Drosophila melanogaster: one gene and its partner. The protein of the gene in region 2 interacts with the protein of the main gene of each other region in a pairwise test. Each region holds a gene or a part of one and is shown on either strand. Other genes may lie near its edges.

Region 1 (9,930 bases), on a different chromosome or scaffold from region 2:
TTTGGAATCCGAATCCGAGAGCACATGCTCATCATCGAGGTGCTGATGTGCCGATGTGCTGATGTGGATGTGGGTAGGCCCGCAGAAAGTGCCAATCAAATGGCCCGTGCCCCCATCCCCGACGAACAGCAAACAGAAACAGGTTGACCCCCACGCAAGAGGATGTAGTCGGAGCTCAAGTTCTTACAAGTGGCGTCGAGTTGATCCACACGTAGCTCCACACTTGGCCAGCGGATTAGCCGCGAACTCCGGCACATTATCGCTGTGCAATCTGCGGCATTCCATGGCCAGAGACAATGGACCATTCATCCGATGACCTGTGGGGCAAACCTCAAACGTGGCACGCATTCATCGAGGGTTCTTCAATTGATTTCGGCCATCTAATGTGGCTCAAACCAAATCCGGAATTGTGTAACAATGACTAAAGTGCGCTGCACGCCAGTCCCAAACAAAAGGCAAATTTTTCGGTAGCTGCAACACCATCATTATTGTTGCCTTGACTGGCAGTGGGAACCATCTTTATGACCGCTGGGGCCGTAAATAAATCACAGGACCCATGCTCCCATCGCCCACAAAATGCAATGTTTAGTCACAAGCTTTTATTTGCTTTGGTTACGTGTGCGTACACATGAAAATATATAAAAAACCGACATAAAATCATGACGTTCATTTGTAAAATTTATTGACTATAATTATAAATGAATTCAGTGTTTCATTCTGAGGAAGACACCAATTTCGTTGGCTCATAATGTTTAAAAGTTATCCAGTTAAATTACAGAATCAAAAGCCATGTTCTTTGTCTAAACTTTACGTATTTACTTTTTGAGAACATCGATTTTTTTTTCGGAGTGTATAGGCCGACATCAATCATTATTCCCCTGCCTGCGCCCGAATTTAGCCGCATATGAATGCCCGTGCCACAGCTCGCAGACCAGCTCCTTCTGCCCCACCGTTCTGTTTCAAGTTTAATTGCTTCGCATACGTTTTAATTATGCCGAGTAGTAGTGAGATCCAAAAGCCCAGAGCTGCGAGAGTTGGGCTCCACTGAATGGTGCTGCACTAGCAGCAACTAATTTGGCAATTTGGCCAACTGCACAAGGCGACCTGTGTGTTAGTGTAATTACTTTATGGAGTATGGAGTGCACTGTGAATGCGTCTTTTATGACAGCCATTGAGTTGCAGAGCGATCGAGATCGGGTCCATCGCTCAAATGCCATAGGTGAGTGGAGCCACGGAGGATGAGCGCCAAAGATTCCCAGGTGCGACCTTCGCGTGCCTTCGCCTCTTGACGGAATGTTATCAATAACTGACGACATGATTTTCGAAGTTGTTAATTAAGACGTTAAACGAAAATAGGTGTTTAAACGACAATATTATAGATTTATTTCATGGCCTTTTTTAAGCAGATTTGCTTTCTCAATTTATTAAATAAAAGGTAAGCTTTCTTTATAAATAGGTTCTCGGAAGAATCTGTTGTTGAGACCCCCAATTTCCTTATAGTCATCCGTATCATAATTCATCCACACCCAGCTTACTCACATCCACTTCAGTTCACTTTAGAGCGGTTCCAAAATGTCAAAGTTTGGCAATTTTGTGTGTGAGTCAATCGACTTTTACTCCGGATTCTGGCAAAAGGCAGCGACCTTCGCGTCGGGCGAAAAATGCAGTCGGTGTGCGAAGAAGTCGGAGCCACGGAGATCTCGAATCCAAAATCGCTCTCGAAATATCATCATCTAGAGTGGCACGGCATATTCAAAGTGAGGCGCAATTTACATCAAAAGACGCCTTAATTGATTCTGTCCGTCTTGGGGGGGCATTGCATCAGAAATTATCGTAGTTTAATTTAAATTACACGTTCGCGGCGCTCCACTCGTCAGCATTCTAGGTTACAAAGCAAACATAGATTCGGATCTGCAGATACAGATACGGATACATGTATGTATTTCAAGGTCCGCCCCTCTCGAAGCTCTAGAGCAGCCATCAGAAATTACAAATCGTCATTGTCTTCGACTTGGCGCATCATCACCTGGCTGGGTGCCATTAGCTTCCTCTCCATCTCGATCTCCATCTCCATGTACAACTCCAAGTCCAAAACTCCGTCTAGATGGCCTCTCTGTCTGGCACGTTCAATGTAAATTAGCCGATGCAGGAAATTAAATGATTTTTTAATGTGCTGGAAAAATGATTACAAACGTAAAAAAAAAAACAAGCAGAAGACTGAAGCTGAAAACTGAAAACCGAAAACAGATTTGAAGTCGTTCATGGAGTGCTATTGAAAATGAATTTCAGTTTTGGTTTCCGAGACAAGGAATGCGGCATACGAAGGTTTATTTATTTAATTGTTTTGCTTACATTTCAAGATTCATATTAGCCATTATGAAGTCAAGTCTTAACTGCTCTGCTATAATTTCTGTTTGTTTATTTGAATTTTTCGCATTCGCATATTTGCACACATAACTCCAAATGATCTTGGTAATTACAAAAGCTTGGCTGTATATTCTCTAATTTATTTTTATTGTGGTCTGTGGCAAGGTCGAGTATTACTTGCAGAAAATCACTTGGGGGAATACGCAGCGAGGAAGCAATTCCATCCCACCCCATCCCTTCAATCCCTTCAATACCTCATTAATTTCCAGCTCATTTGGGGCGTGGCTTCGCACGGCCTTTAAATTTACAACTCATAAACTTGGCATTATCGAATGTGAAAGTCAGCTCGTGCCAAATCGCAAAATAAGCAGGGTCCGTTATAACAAAATGATAAAAATTTTAATTTGCTACGCATTCGACCAATGAGCCAAAAGACAATTGACCAAAGAAATATTTGCAGATCGTGATGGATGCTACGCCCACTGTTTAAATGAACATGGAATATGGCAATAAAAATATTGAATTACTTTTCCCTATTGTCAAGTATTGTGTTCGAGTATTTTTAAAGAGTTCAAGTTTCCTTTGTTATGCAATCGACTTTTTAATGGGATAAATAAGTATCCAAAACTATTGAGCATACACATTTCAATACGTTTTGCAGGAAATGGACAAATAGAAAAAAAAATTATGTTATTTTTTTTAAATATGTGTTTATTTTAAAACTTATTTCTCTCTACAAATTATTTGTTTATAAAGTAAATATATAAATAAATTGATCTCATTTAAATTGGAGCAATGTTTCACCCATAAATGAATGTTGAAGAGATCTTTAGGTAATTTTGATTCGCAAAGCAACTACAAGCCGTTACTAATGCTCAGTTTAATAACAATCAACATTTTCGACACCAGAGCGTATCTTTCCCAGCAAGGAAGATAACGTATCTTAAAACTCTTTTTCCCTCGCTGTGCTCACAGCTCAATTGCAGCTTATCCGACTTGAATCCATGTCAACGCCAATCCAAACGGACACATTTGTGAAGTCGGGGGCATAATCCAGCTCATTAGTTGTGCTGAAAAACAAAACCGAGCAAAACCCAGCGAAAACTCCCACGCACTAAGGGGAAACAATTTGCAGCAGCATTGCCTGCAGCAAGTTCGTTGCCTGAGTCTTTTGTTTCTGCTTCGCCTTTCGAGGCGGCCGCCGCTGAAGCTGCCGCACGACTGAAGCTGAAGCCTCCGATGCGAGATGAAGATGCGTGGAGCAGCTGCCTCCGCTCACTTGGCTTTTGGACGCTACCGTCGACGTCGCTGCCCGCTGCCTGCTGCATGACTAATTCCATTACAAATAAGTGTTTCTGCTATTACACGAGCGGCAACAAATGTTTATGGCCTGCAGCCGCAGGAGCGCGGTACTCCCTCGTCTCATTTGTTTGAATGTTTGGCACTCATCTTCGCTCATTTGCCGAACCCGACCGCAGATACGAAGTCAGCATCGTCAAAATGTTTGGCGCTTTAATTTCCAAAGTAACTAGTTTACTATAACAAATCCACCTCAAGCGATTTCCCTCTTTTCTCGGCAGCACCACCGAGAGCGATTTGCTCTTCCTCAGCTCCGTGTGCTTTGCATTATTTTGTAATGTTTTTCAAGTGCTCGTTCGGCACTGTGGCACTCATTTTTTTCTCGACTAACCGAAAATTGAAATAACGAACTAAGCTGAACAAAAAACACACACATTTTGGCGCGCAATTTTTTGAAGCCGACGTCGACGCCGCCGCGTTAGCTGCTGCTCATTTCAAATATAAATACTGGCCTACGAAATTGTTTCAGTATCACAATCAAGTCAACCATCTTCGCAAGAAGAACACAGCCAACAGAGCAAAGTTAACAAAAACCGTTTTCGTGTGTGCCAAAATCCCAAACAAGTGACAACACAAAATGAAGGTATATAGCCGAATAGAACTTTCGAGTCAAGTGCCAAGTGGTGTGCTGTGTGAAAAAAAAAAGTCCTCACAAAAGGATATGGGCAGCCAAAACGAAATACAATGCCTCATTCGGCATTCGGGAAACGATATGACTAAAGGATATAAAACTTGAATAGCTATAAAGATCATTCAATATAGGTCCTTTATTAGATACAGTTTCGACCTTTTGTTAAATTTTCAAAGGATATTGAAGTTTGCTGTAGCTAACATACAAACAACGTTGGGTTACAAAATCTTAGAATGATCAAATAAACATCACAATATTTGCCCATATCTTTTTCTGCATTGCAAAGGTGCTAAAATATGTTCGAATTTTGTATTCATTTTTCTGTATCCAATCAATAGCCCTCATTTAAAATCGTTTTTGGCAATAGATCGATCAATCAATTAAACAACTCATCAAACTAATGAAGCTTTCATTGTCTCACATAGCACTTAATCAGCTAATCGGAAGGAAAAGACATGAAATATTAATATTTGAGCCATATTAAAAGTCAAGTTCAGCTGGGTGATTAATCAAGCGGAGATCCGCATAATAAATTTCATAAGTTGCCATCATCATCGCAGTTAAGATTACCATCAATTTGTTTAGGATAGCTACTGTTTTTTATGGTAGGTTGCGGAATTAGAACACCGATATCATTCGCCTGGGAAACAATTGCAACCAGCGATCCCAGTTCATTTCTAGGGTGTGGGTAACAAACAGAAGCAACAACAGCTGCCGCTGCTTGGGGTCATTTTGCAATGAATAAATTAGAGAAACTTTAAGTGGCGGAAGAAGAACTACTGGACATGCCCAAGTAAGGCAGTCTGGAGATGACCAGGCGGCGATAAAAAAAAAATACAGACAAAAGCGCAGCCAAAAAGCATAGCATTTTAACGCCAATGAAGCATGAAAGTCATTGACGGCCCTGTGCCTAAACACTCGGCCAGAAGATCTTTTGCACAAGATTCGGAAATAAGTTGTGTAAGAGTGAGCCGAAGTGGTTCTCCCACAGGTTGTCCGCGCCACACGGCGAATACTTAAGATTCAGACGCATTGCGCAAGATCACGAGATTAGCCCTTCACTTGCAGCCCAGCTAAATCCAATCCAATCCGATGGGAGCTTCACCTGGGACCCAATTACTACAGATTTGCATATGCCTCAGCTAAATGCTGTAAAGATGGGAAAGACAAAGCCAATTCTGGGCCTGCTCGCAGGCCATCAAATCCAAACAAAAGATTGTCAAGCGGGTCACAGCCTGAGCAGTTATTGTTATGAGAGTTTAATGAGCTGGCAGCCAGCCGGGCGAACAGTGCCCACTTATTCGAGAAGTACGCGACAGTTGCTTATGAGAAATTTTAGCTTTAGGATCAAATGTGGGATGGGCTATCGATTTCTCCTACTGGCGTCATTGTCACATCTTTTTGGATCTCAGCGGCAGTACGGTAGGCCGTGGGGTGGATTTTAAAGCCATAAAGCCTGGGAAAACATAGTTACATTAGTTATACATTATTAGTAACTACCTTAAAAACATAGGGAAATAGAAGGAAACACAGGAAACGGAAGATCTAACCTGGGCACAAACTTCTGCTTTGCCCGCTTGGGCCTAGCATCCGGTTTCTCCATAAAGAACATATGAGGGAATCCAGTGCCAAAGAAGGCTCCATCCAGATTCGAATGTCTCGACGCCTTGGGAATGTACACATCATTGCACTTGGGGCAATAGATGCGTACCATATCCTCGCCAGGATTATCACTCAAACCAATGGGCAGCACCGGCTGGCTATGGCAGAATGCACGTGGACATGTGCCGAATTCGCCCTTGTTGTACTTGTCCAACATCAGTTCGATGCCCCTGTTGGTTAGGATAAAGCGAGCATGGATCAAGCCATACAGTTTCTCTGCACTAGCCTCCAGTTCTGGTTCAGCGGGGTCTTCCGAAGCTGAACCCGGATTAAGATCCAGGATCACCTCCAAGGCACATTTGTAGTTCTTAACGTTCGAATCAAGAAAGTTAAGGTTAAACTTGTCCTGGATATATTCCTCATCCACCTCGCAAAAGAATTCGTTGCCACGCTGCTTGCAAAACCAATGAATCCAGGAAGATTCGTCCGAATCGGTCATAGCTGCTTCTTTTAAGCTTTAATTTAATCAGTCAAAATCACGAGAGCTTAACAATAGGACTTATTTAATTTCGAATGACAGCTGTCAGGGACGGAGTGTTCAATCAAGGGTTGTCAACTCAAAACGAAAACTGTAATGTAAATGCAACCCTGAATTTTCATTCCCAGGCTTTTACATCCATTGCCCTGCTCGTGTGCCTGGCTGCCTGGACCCATGCGGAACCACCAGTTCCCCAGAACCAGTACCTGCCCCCCAATCAGTCGCCTCAGGCGCCGTCCAACAACTACCTGCCGCCCACGCAGGGCTACCAGTCGCCGTCGAGCAACTACTTGCCACCCCAGCGGGCCGGTGGCAATGGAGGAGCGCCCAGCAACAGCTATGGCGCCCCCATCGCTCCTCCCCAGGGTCAATATGGTGCTCCAGCGCTGACTGGTGCCATCTTCAAGGGCGGAAACGGAAACGGAAACGGCGGCTATGGCGGCGGTAATGGCAACGGCAACGGCTACGGACAACGGGATGAGGAGCAGTATGGACCGGCCAAGTACGAGTTCAAGTACGACGTACAGGACTACGAGTCGGGCAATGACTTCGGCCACATGGAGTCCCGCGATGGTGATCTTGCTGTGGGCCGCTACTACGTCCTGCTGCCCGATGGACGCAAACAGATTGTTGAGTACGAGGCCGACCAGAATGGATACCGCCCAACCATTCGGTACGAGCAGGTCGGCAATGGCAACGGAAACGGCAATGGCAATGGTCGCAACGGTGGCGGTTATGATAGCAACGCGCAGCAGGGCAAATTCAACGGCTACTAAGATGGGGAAGTGAGGATACCCGATTTAGGTCGACCCCGCAACTATACTCGTCTACTTCATGGGATCGCTGGCCGAGTATTAAACGCACATCCAGCCAGTGGGCCAGCGATCGCAGTCAGTCTATCCATATAACCCTATTCCCATCTCTGTGCATACCCTTAGTGGGACGCCCGCCATTTTGCCATAGACAGGCGCGTTCCTTTCCGTTTCCGTTTCACTGCTGTTCGTTATCCTGTTTTCCGTCTCTACACCTGGAACTCCTTGCCGTTTTGTTTTGTTTAAGCGCCTTCATTTTGTGTTAGTCTACGCACACACTCCAACACACCATTCACCCACAACATGACCATTACGCATTCATACATACATGCATAAGGATTGTATTTAGTTTTTAAACGAAAATGGAAATTCGAAAGTGAAACGAACTTATGAGATTTTTGTGTATATTTAATAATTATTAAATGAATAAAGAAGCATTTTTGTATAAAACAAAGTCAAAAAGAAAAACCAAACTGTTTTTATAATTAACAAGATAATTCATTCTGAGAATTGAATACATTGCACAACTCTATTTTACATATTCAAATAGCTATATCCAAATTGCCTACTTCAGGACCCGCTCCAGTTGTCCCTGTCTGTTGTATCGATACACAGGATCCTTGAGTTGCCCCACAGTGGAGTAAGTCAACTGAGCCGTAAAATCATCTGCATCTGCATCTGCGTTTTGCTGGGAGCTGAAAGAAACTCTTTGTAGTTTATTGTCCTGCGAAATGACGAAGTAACGTCCCTCTCTGATTTTGGGCTGCTGATTGTCTACGATATTTTTTGCAGTAACTGGCTCCTCATCATCAGGATAAATGATTTTAAATTTCGGATCTGCCGGACCGTACTTGTTGGACGGTCGTGAGGTGGGCAAAATCTCTTCCTCGGGTATATCCAGTTGATTTGGAGGCAAATAATTTGGCTGGGGCTTTTCCACTGGATCGAACTGGTCCACTCGTGCCTTTGTGATTTCTACTCCCTGACTTGATCGGATAGCAGGCACATACTCGTTGGGTAAGTTGAATGGAATCTGCGGATGCCAACCAGTTGGTGCATAAGGTGCTATACGTCCACCGGTAAAATCCACTTCAGCTTGTACAATGGCCACAAATGGCAGCAGTAGAAGCAACTTTAGGAATGCCAAAAAGATTTACGTAAAAATGTTTATTAAATAGCCACATCATACCTTTGTCACCATTTTAATGAACGGCTCGATTGAAACTGCGGTGCAATATTTGGGATTTGCTCATTTTTATATTAAACAATTGGAACCATTGCAATATTTATCATGCCGGACACGCACCTTGTTCGTCTGACACCAATTGGACTGCATCTGTTCCATCTTCGGACTACATAGTCACGTATCCAGCCGACAAAAATAAAAAAGAATCAAATGCACACAACCTTGACAACGGATGAGCGAATAATTGGCAAAGGCTCAACTTTGGTTTTGCTTTTAGATGCACATAAAAAGTGAAAGTGTTATAAGAGCATTAATTTGCAAAATAATTTATAGAAAATCTAACTAAGAATACATTTCAATGTAATTATTATTTATTTAAGTGCGTATGCATTTCAAGAATATTGAATAAATGCAACTTATAAAACGCTTAGCAATTTACAATTTTCGAAAATACGTTATTTCTAGGGTAACCACATTTTAACTGTAAAGTCGTATGCAGCCACACTGCTGTGTCGTGCATTTTTGTATCTTCCGCATGCTGCCCTATAATCTACGACATACGGTCACACTGCGCATGTGGAACTTTAAGAAAATCTGCAAAACATTGACAAAATTATTAAATTTAATAGCTTAATCGGACGAATAAGAGTGTATTTATGTTGATTAGTTGTTGTCTCTGAGCCAGTGGGCAATGTACACGTGCTTACTATGCCTAAAACCGAGGAATCAGCGAGATTTATGTGACGAAATTCCGTAAACAAATCAGCGTGCAGCTCGAGAAGAACCTGGTAATACAGAATTCCTTAAGAGGAAACCACTCAAGCTAACATTTCATTGTCTTCCAGATATGCGGTAAATTCAATAGTATGCCCCAGTGGCCACGGAGTCCGCCGGAACCACAAAAACCATGTGGCCCAACAGCAACCTAAACGCCGTGCTGCTCATCCTGGCAGTGCTGGCGTGCCCAACTAGCAGCCAACATGTTCCTCTGGCCATGGCCAATTCAACTAGCAACCAAGTGCCTACGGATCCTGGCTTCATGCCGCTGCAGCAGTCGCCGGGAAGCGTCTTTTTCGTGCACCACAACCAGCAGAATGCCATGCAGCTGCGACATAGCATGGAGGGCAAGCTGCGGAATATTCGTAATACGGAGCTGAGGGTGGCCAAGATACAGGTGGGCTATCAATACTGCACAAGCTATTAAACTCCATTTTAATGCCCACAATCCCCTTCCAGGAAATCTTTGACTCCATGCACTTCAGCAGCGCCAAAGGAGCGTCAAACACTCGTCAAGCTTCGAGCAACGATAGCAACGTGGTCAATCCCCAGTTGCAGCGGGACTTGCAATTGTTTAGTGAGCGTCTGAGCAAGAAAATCCAGAAAGCCACTTACGTGGTGTTGGAACTGCGCGAACTGCTTCGCTACAACCTGACCA
Region 2 (7,347 bases):
ACCGCTAAGTAAATGATTGATTGGTTTTGAAAGTTTCTGGTTAGTTTTTAGCACAACAGCTTACACTTCATGGTCGAGTGAATATTGGCCACCATATTGTCGTAGGTCTTTCTGGTGTCGGGCAACAGGTAACGTCCTGGCAACTGACTCGATCTTAGCGAGGCCTTGATCCTGTCCCTCCTGGACAGCTGCGACAGCCTGGTCTTGGCGCTCTCCTCCTGTTCCCAGTCCCTTCGCAGCTGGGTGGTCAGGATGTGGTGCAAGGCCAGTCGATTGGTCATGGTCACGCTGTTTGTGGCTAAATGGTTATTTGCTAATTTCGAATTTAGATTGCGAATTTTGACTGCCAAAGTGGTCGAAAATTGTGGAATTTATTTTATATATTTTTTTTTATGAACGATGCCTCATTTTAGGATTTTAGAAAATAGTTCTGATATAATTTGGATTTATTCAGCCAAGGCAAGGGTGATCTCGAAATATGGTTTTGCAATCGATTTATTCATTTTTACACTTTATTTTTTATTAGTTTATTATTGTTTAAATAAGAAGAACGCAGCATATGATTCGTTTGCTTAAATAATTTAAAATACATATATAACTTCGCCGCATGCAATTATGAATTGGCTAAATTGATTTAGATTGATTTAGATTTACTACATCAGAGATCGATCTACAGGTGACTATTGATGTTCTTCCGGGCCAATTGGGCATAGATGGTGCCATGTGGCTTGTCCACTGGGATGAAAACTTCATTGTTGTCGCCGGGTGCAATCTTCTGGAAGGGCTTCGTATCGAAGTTGAAGTAGTGCTTGTTTGGCATGGTCATCGAAATGACCGACACCTGCGGCAGGACATCCAGGACCTGTCTTTCACTCAGATACAGGGTGTGCTGAACGGAGGGCGAGGACACGCCCACCTGCGGATCGCCAGCAAAGTTACGAATGATTATGTTTTTGACCGTTTGCCAGGCCCTGAGGAAGTCCAAGTTCTCGGTATCGGAGTACTCCCAGGAGCAATCCACCACGGTGCTAAAGATGCGATCATACTGATCTGGCAGAGATCTGAACTCATCGTTCACGAAGTTCACGAACGAGGATTGGGTCGTCTTCAGCACCCGGAGACCCTTGATGCCCGTGATGACCGTTTGTTTGGGATCTAAAACAGTAAAGGAGGTGATAATTTAGTAGTTTTAAATATTATTGCTTTAGTTATGTTTGACTTAACCTGTTCTCCTTATAACCACATCGCAGTAGTGAAGAGCGGTGGGCGTGAATATAAAAGCGTGATTGTGCAGTGATCTGTTGTCAATGGAGCTGAAGTCGCAGTTCCCTTGGACTCCGTTCTCGCACTTCCCATTGACGTTGGTCCTGGTCTCCTCCTGGCAAACTCGCTGCCAGGGATACGCCTCCACATGAACGTGCGCCTCCTCCACGTGCGAGTATTTGTTAATAAAGTGCCTGGCCAGGAGCAGAGCAAACTTCTCGGGACTTTCAATGCCATGCTTTTTCGCCAGCAAATAGACGGTGTTCTTCTGCGAATCGGTGGCCACGATGTCCGAGTTGTTGCCCTGGTAGTAATCCTTTTTGCTGTACAACTTCAGGTGAGTGCCCACCTCGAATTCCTGGATGGCGTGCACGGGTCCGTTGCGGCTGACATGCAGCACCTTGACCGCATCCTTGCCGTATCCGTGATCGGTAATCTCGTACTGATACGGCTTACCATGCTCATCCATGCCGGCGGAATTCTTTGGGGTCTGGTGGTTAGCCGCAGCTGGCTGTCTGAGGGGCGTGGCAAACATTGTGACTGCAATCACTCTCACTTTGATACTGATGATGCCATCAATTTCCTTGCCGCCTTTTATATCAGAACACCTGGATAACAACACAAATCTTTGTGTAGTTAGGGATTTTTTTTAGCGCATTTCGTAGAAAGCAAGTGGCTGGGAAATCGTATATCATCACTCTCACTTAGAGTATTAAAGGTCTAACTCAAATTACGACTAGTAGCGCTGATAATCGCGGCCTGGTGCCAAGTAAACATGACCAAGACTCAAGGCTATGTTTTCTATCTCCAAAACTTTGCATCTTGTTTACTTCACACTCATCTAACCAAATCCTTATTTTTGCAATATTACGTAGGAGATAAGTCGCAAATGCCGTTTTAACCATTAGCATCACTTTCGGGGGTAAATGAAAATTGGTAAATAATTTTTACAGATCACATCTCTGAATTTTATTCTTTTTTAAAATCTTAATTTCTCTCTTATTCACGCACGAGTCACTATTATTATTAAAACCTTGAAAATGTGTGCGTTGAAAAGATACATTTATTATTTCACAACATTGGAAAATAACAATTATTTCACCATAGAAAAAAAATATTAATTTACGTCTTAAATTTGATGTGACACTTTTGTTTATTAAATTTTAGGAGACCATTTTTAATATCCTTGATAATGGTCTTAAAAAATACACATGTTTAAGTTGAGTTTCTGGAATAATCTAATGTGACAGAATGTGTTCAGATGGATTCGACTGATCAAAAGTTTAGATATATAATTTATAGAATCGGAAACGCTTTACTTTACCAGTTACATACTGTTCAGTAAGCCTAGTATACCCTTTTAGTAAAGGGAATAAAAGGTTGGCATAGCAACTGCAGATCTGAAAGAGTGCAATTTGTAATAAAATGAAAGCTGTATTTGCAAAGAGTTTATCATTTCCGTGTGAGTCTAAACTTTTTATAAACCATTATTCTATTAAAAAACAAAACAATTTTATTATGTAGTGGGTCATAAGTACGTGTGAGCCAATCTACATATGTATATCAAAATATTTATTAACTAACCTATAAAATATAGAATGGTTTTTTCAAATACTCATAAACAGTAAATGACAATACACATATAGATACTATTATATATCACTATAAGATAGGGCGTTTAGTCTCGATTTATTAGCTGGAGGATTTAAACATACCACTTCAGCTTAGTGTTAAGTCAGTTTTATTATATGGATATAGAAAATGTCAGATGTTCTCTGCTATCTTGTGGTGGTCAAATTGCTCAGCAGCCAAATAATCTACTCTCTGCATAAAATTTCTATCTACAGAAGCTGTGGCTTAGTGCTAATCCAGTTTAATCTCATACATACTCTGGGTGAAGATATTTCAAAAGATATGTGCGCGCTTTTTTAAGATATACATTTGACATATATTTGTTTAACACGGTTTTTAGGAGCGTGCCTTGTATGCATAATGGTCTCCCACGATCCGAAATAGCTATATTCATATGTTTGTTGGCAAGTTATGTAAGTTCCGTTTTTGGTTATTGGCTTAAGATAAACTCTATGTTGGAATTGAAGTGTCATTGTTTGTTAAGCGAGAGTTTTATTTAGCAAAGATAATAATATTCGTGTTTATATAAAGGTTTTGATTTCACGGTTAAGTAAATTTGATAATAAAGTTTACTTTCGCATAAGCACGCGTCATAAAGTTATTTGGCTTAGTTTATGCATTATATTGTAGTACTCTACTGATATGATAAACTATATGATCTTGAAGATGATGATATGATTGTAAACGAGTAGAGAACCCCTGCCACATGAATCATCCCCAAAAGATGTACCGCCTGGAATTTAATCTAATGGATTGGTAGTTTTATGAAGCTTTTGGCACCTCGAAAACATGTTGTCCGCCCCAAAGTTTTGCGTGCGGTTCAGTGAACTAAAGTGCGAGTTATGAATGAGAGAGTCTTAGACAAGTGAATGCTTTTGTTGTCGACTCCACAAACAAAAGTGCAAATTGTTTTCCAGTGAAACCTGCGACGCACCCATGTAAAATATTATTTTTTGGCAGGCAAACATCGATGTCTCGTGAACCGCAACGAGTTAGTTGCGTCTTTGAGCGCGTTACCAGCGGACGAACAACGACATGGAGCTGCCAATAGTCCTTCTCTTGGTACTGAGTGTCATTCCATTTGAAGCCCAGGGAGCTGTGCACGATGAGCTGCCCCAGTGCGGCTTACATGGTGTTTACAGGCAGCGACAGAGTCTCGTCGAATCGCCCAACTATCCGGACAACTATCCGGTGAACACCTGCTGGGATTATGTGGTGCGATCTCCCTACCGCTGCCCCACCAAGTTTCACATACAGTTCTTGGACTTCAAGCTGGAGCTATCGGAGAACTGCAGTCGGGATTACTTGGCCATTGGCCTGAACAACGATGGCGACGACATGGAGGTCTTGTGCGGTCAGGTGCTGGGTATCAAAAAGTATCACACCCCCGATGGAGTCCTGCGTCTGCGCTTCCTTAGCGATGATTCGCCTTGGACAACCAACGGTGGCTTCCGTTTGCTCATCACGCGTTTGGCCTGCGAAAGGGAGGACTTGGTGGCCAGGGGTCTGGACGATGACGAGGAGGACGTAGATGGCGACACGGTGCAGGTGAGCGCCAAGTCGCCTCCGAAGAAGCTGCTCACCCAGCATCACCATCATCACCTGCCACAGCAAAGCCATCAGCCGCAACTGGAGCCAGCTTTCAACTATACGCAACCAAATCGGTTGGGGTTTAATTTGGGCTTACAACCAGGTCTTGGTTATCCCGGTGGATTATACCCACCGCCTGCGGGATTACCACCCCAGTACACACCGCCATGTGCTCCCCAGCAGCAGCAACTGTTGCAGCAGCAGCAGGAGCAGCACCGATTCCTGCAGCAACAGCAATTACAACTGCAGATCCTGCAGCAACAGCGACTGCAACAGCAGGTCCTGCAGCAGCAGCAGCTGCAACAACAAGTACAAGTTCAACATCCACAGCAACTTCAACTTTCCCAGCAGCAGCAGCAACTGCAGCAAGAGTTGCCCCTGATTTCCGATCAATATCAGACCACATCCTTTCAGCCACATGCTGTTACTCTCAAGGATTACGATGCCCAGACCTTGCAGCAGTTTGGTGGTCAGTTGGATCTCTGCTGTGCCAGCAGCTTCAATCAGAATCACTTCTATCTCTCCAGTCCCGGATTTCCAAGGACAGTCTTGAACTATCTGCTACCCAATCAGCAGAGGGATTGCGTATTTTACATCGAGAAGAGCTCACCAAATGTCTGTCGACTGCGGATTCAGTTCAAGTTCTTTGATTTCGGTCAGAATTCAGGAGGTTCAATTGGAGGCAGCTTTGGTGACGGATTCGGTGGTGGAGTGTCCGGTGGATTGGGCGGCGGACATAGTGGCGGTTTTGGAGGCCAACATAATTGCAATGGTGACTTTCTGGAGCTGGATGGTCAGCGCTATTGCGGCTGTCGTTCCGGCTATGTCCACAAATCGCATTGGGATCAGGGTCGCAAGGCGCTGCGCATGCGCATTGGACAATCGAGCAGCACCACGTCCAATGGCTTTCTGCTGGAGATATTCCAGGATCAGGACTCCGATGGCTGTCGTCAAGATGCTGGCCAAGGATTTGGTTTGGGCTTGCAACCGCAGCAACCTCAAAGGGGATTGGGTTTGTGGCCACAGGGGTTACAGCCTCAGTTGGGCTTGCAACCTCAGTTGGGCTTGCAACCTCAGTTGGGATTACCCCCGCAAACCGCACAAATGTGGCCGCTACAACCTGGTTATCCTGGCTATATCAGTGGATATCCCCTACCCTTTTCGGCCACTCCCTACCGAACGGCGAGAAGGATATCCTATGCCCGGGGCATCGATGCTCAACAGCCATCGAGAGTGGTGGAAACTAACTCCACTCGCAAGGAGTTCTATTACTTCGACGGCGACGAGGCCTTTGCCCGTTCTGCTGTGGACGATGAGGATGAGGATAAGGCTCACCTGGGCGTCACAACTCAGCCACAGTCTTCGTCCCAATCCATAGTTAAGCCAGAGTCACCTCTGGTTACGAAGGCCTTTGAGCAAAGCAGTTGCTCCTTTGATTACATGGAGGTACTTAAACTTTCAGTCGACACTCTCTGGTTAACTAAACCCTTGTGCTTTTCGCCGCTAAGAAGTTGGTTCCCAAACATTTTTGGCTGAAGGTATATTACAAGCTGGGCAACTAACTATAGCTACAAATGTTTTAATTATGTAAAAGATTGAAGAGCTAATAAAAATACTAGGGAATTCTAAATGCTATTTTATGTATTTTTGGTAAGGAATGTATTTAATATAATATTTTTTCGTTTCATGACAATGACTCCAAATTTACTCAGCATTAATCTGCGATCCTAACCCGCGGCATCCGTATTTCACCAATTTTGTTAACGTCATAGTGAATGTATAAAGAAAATGTGATAAGGAATGCGTCTTTTCACTACGCTTAGTCATCCCACTGGAGGCTTACACGCTCGTTGGTCATTACTGCGCTAAGGCACGAGCTCCAGCAGCTCCACCCTTACCTCTATCCACTCCGTATCGCAATCCCCACGCCGTTGTCATCCACAGATACAGATGCTTTCCAAATAGATAACCATGTCGCCACATTGTTTTCTCAGCAAACACTGAGCAATAGTTGGCCGAGAATCTCGGCCCCATTCAATCTCAATGTCAGGGTGGCACTTTCGCACTTCCGCAGATGTGTTAGTTGGTTCCATTTACAATCGCGGTACTTATTTGGTTTAAACAATGAGTCGGAGTTGTTGTGGAAGTGAGAAACTATTGAAGATCTGTTCAATTTACTAGCACTAATTACACCAAAGAAATAGTTCCATCCTCCAATTGTACATAAACATTTCAAAATGTAGTAGAAAAGTAGATTAACTCTTAAAATTTCGAGTTTTTATTATTATTTTAAGAGTATAGTATCAATGATACATGATGATATGCTAGGAAATGCTTAATCGAACCCTTAACGTCAATTGAAAACGCCTTATCACCATTTAATTGCATACGAATAATAGTATTTCATAAGTTTATTTGAAATATATATATATACTTCTCGACTTTACATTAAAGATAGTTTCAGTTAGTAAGTAGTTAACACGTACACATTTATATATTAATACACACATTTTCAATATTCTCGTATATACACACTGATTTAGCGTTGGGGATTGTGGATCCATTTATCTCATTATAATAATAGTGTAATGGACCGAGAAGACGTTACGAGACTTTAGAGTGATATGGCAACGTTTTGGAATTGTTTGGATTAGCACACGCGACGACCACAATGAAATTAACAAAAGGGAGCGAGCTACTATAACTTTGTTTATTTCGTTAGTATATACAAGACATTGAGAGTTATAAAAGTTTTAATTGTCTACAATTGGAATTAGGGGAGGCTTACAAGGGTCTCTAGCCCTAGTGAGATAACGAAGTATTTTTAGTTCAGCTCGTTTAGCTCTTTTAGACGGGTTAAGT

Evidence for each region. The genes of interacting proteins can lie anywhere in the genome.
Region 1: the proteins of Uro (region 2) and Cpr56F interact in a two-hybrid assay, tested with the Drosophila melanogaster proteins (one large-scale study listed by BioGRID).

Annotation. Positions count from the first base shown.
Region 1 is NT_033778.4:20,286,207-20,296,136, reverse strand, and holds Cpr56F (cuticular protein 56F), read left to right. Parts: upstream 1-4,191; 5' UTR 4,192-4,303; coding exon 4,304-4,309; intron 4,310-5,586; exon of another isoform or gene 5,587-5,704; coding exon of another isoform or gene 5,705-5,813; intron 5,814-5,907; coding exon of another isoform or gene 5,908-6,458; exon of another isoform or gene 6,459-6,592; intron 6,593-6,625; coding exon 6,626-7,273; 3' UTR 7,274-7,766; downstream 7,767-9,930. Other genes in the region: CkIIbeta2 (casein kinase II beta2 subunit), read right to left, coding at 5,705-5,813, 5,908-6,458; CG34199 (uncharacterized protein), read right to left, coding at 7,875-8,441, 8,499-8,510; CG16868 (uncharacterized protein), read left to right, coding at 9,403-9,669, 9,732-9,930.
Region 2 is NT_033779.5:7,774,569-7,781,915, reverse strand, and holds Uro (urate oxidase), read right to left. Parts: upstream 1,832-7,347; 5' UTR 1,799-1,831; coding exon 1,225-1,798; intron 1,156-1,224; coding exon 671-1,155; 3' UTR 501-670; downstream 1-500. Other genes in the region: CG7164 (uncharacterized protein), read right to left, coding at 1-4, 65-281; CG7179 (uncharacterized protein), read left to right, coding at 3,931-6,021. UniProt on the Drosophila melanogaster protein: Catalyzes the oxidation of uric acid to 5-hydroxyisourate, which is further processed to form (S)-allantoin.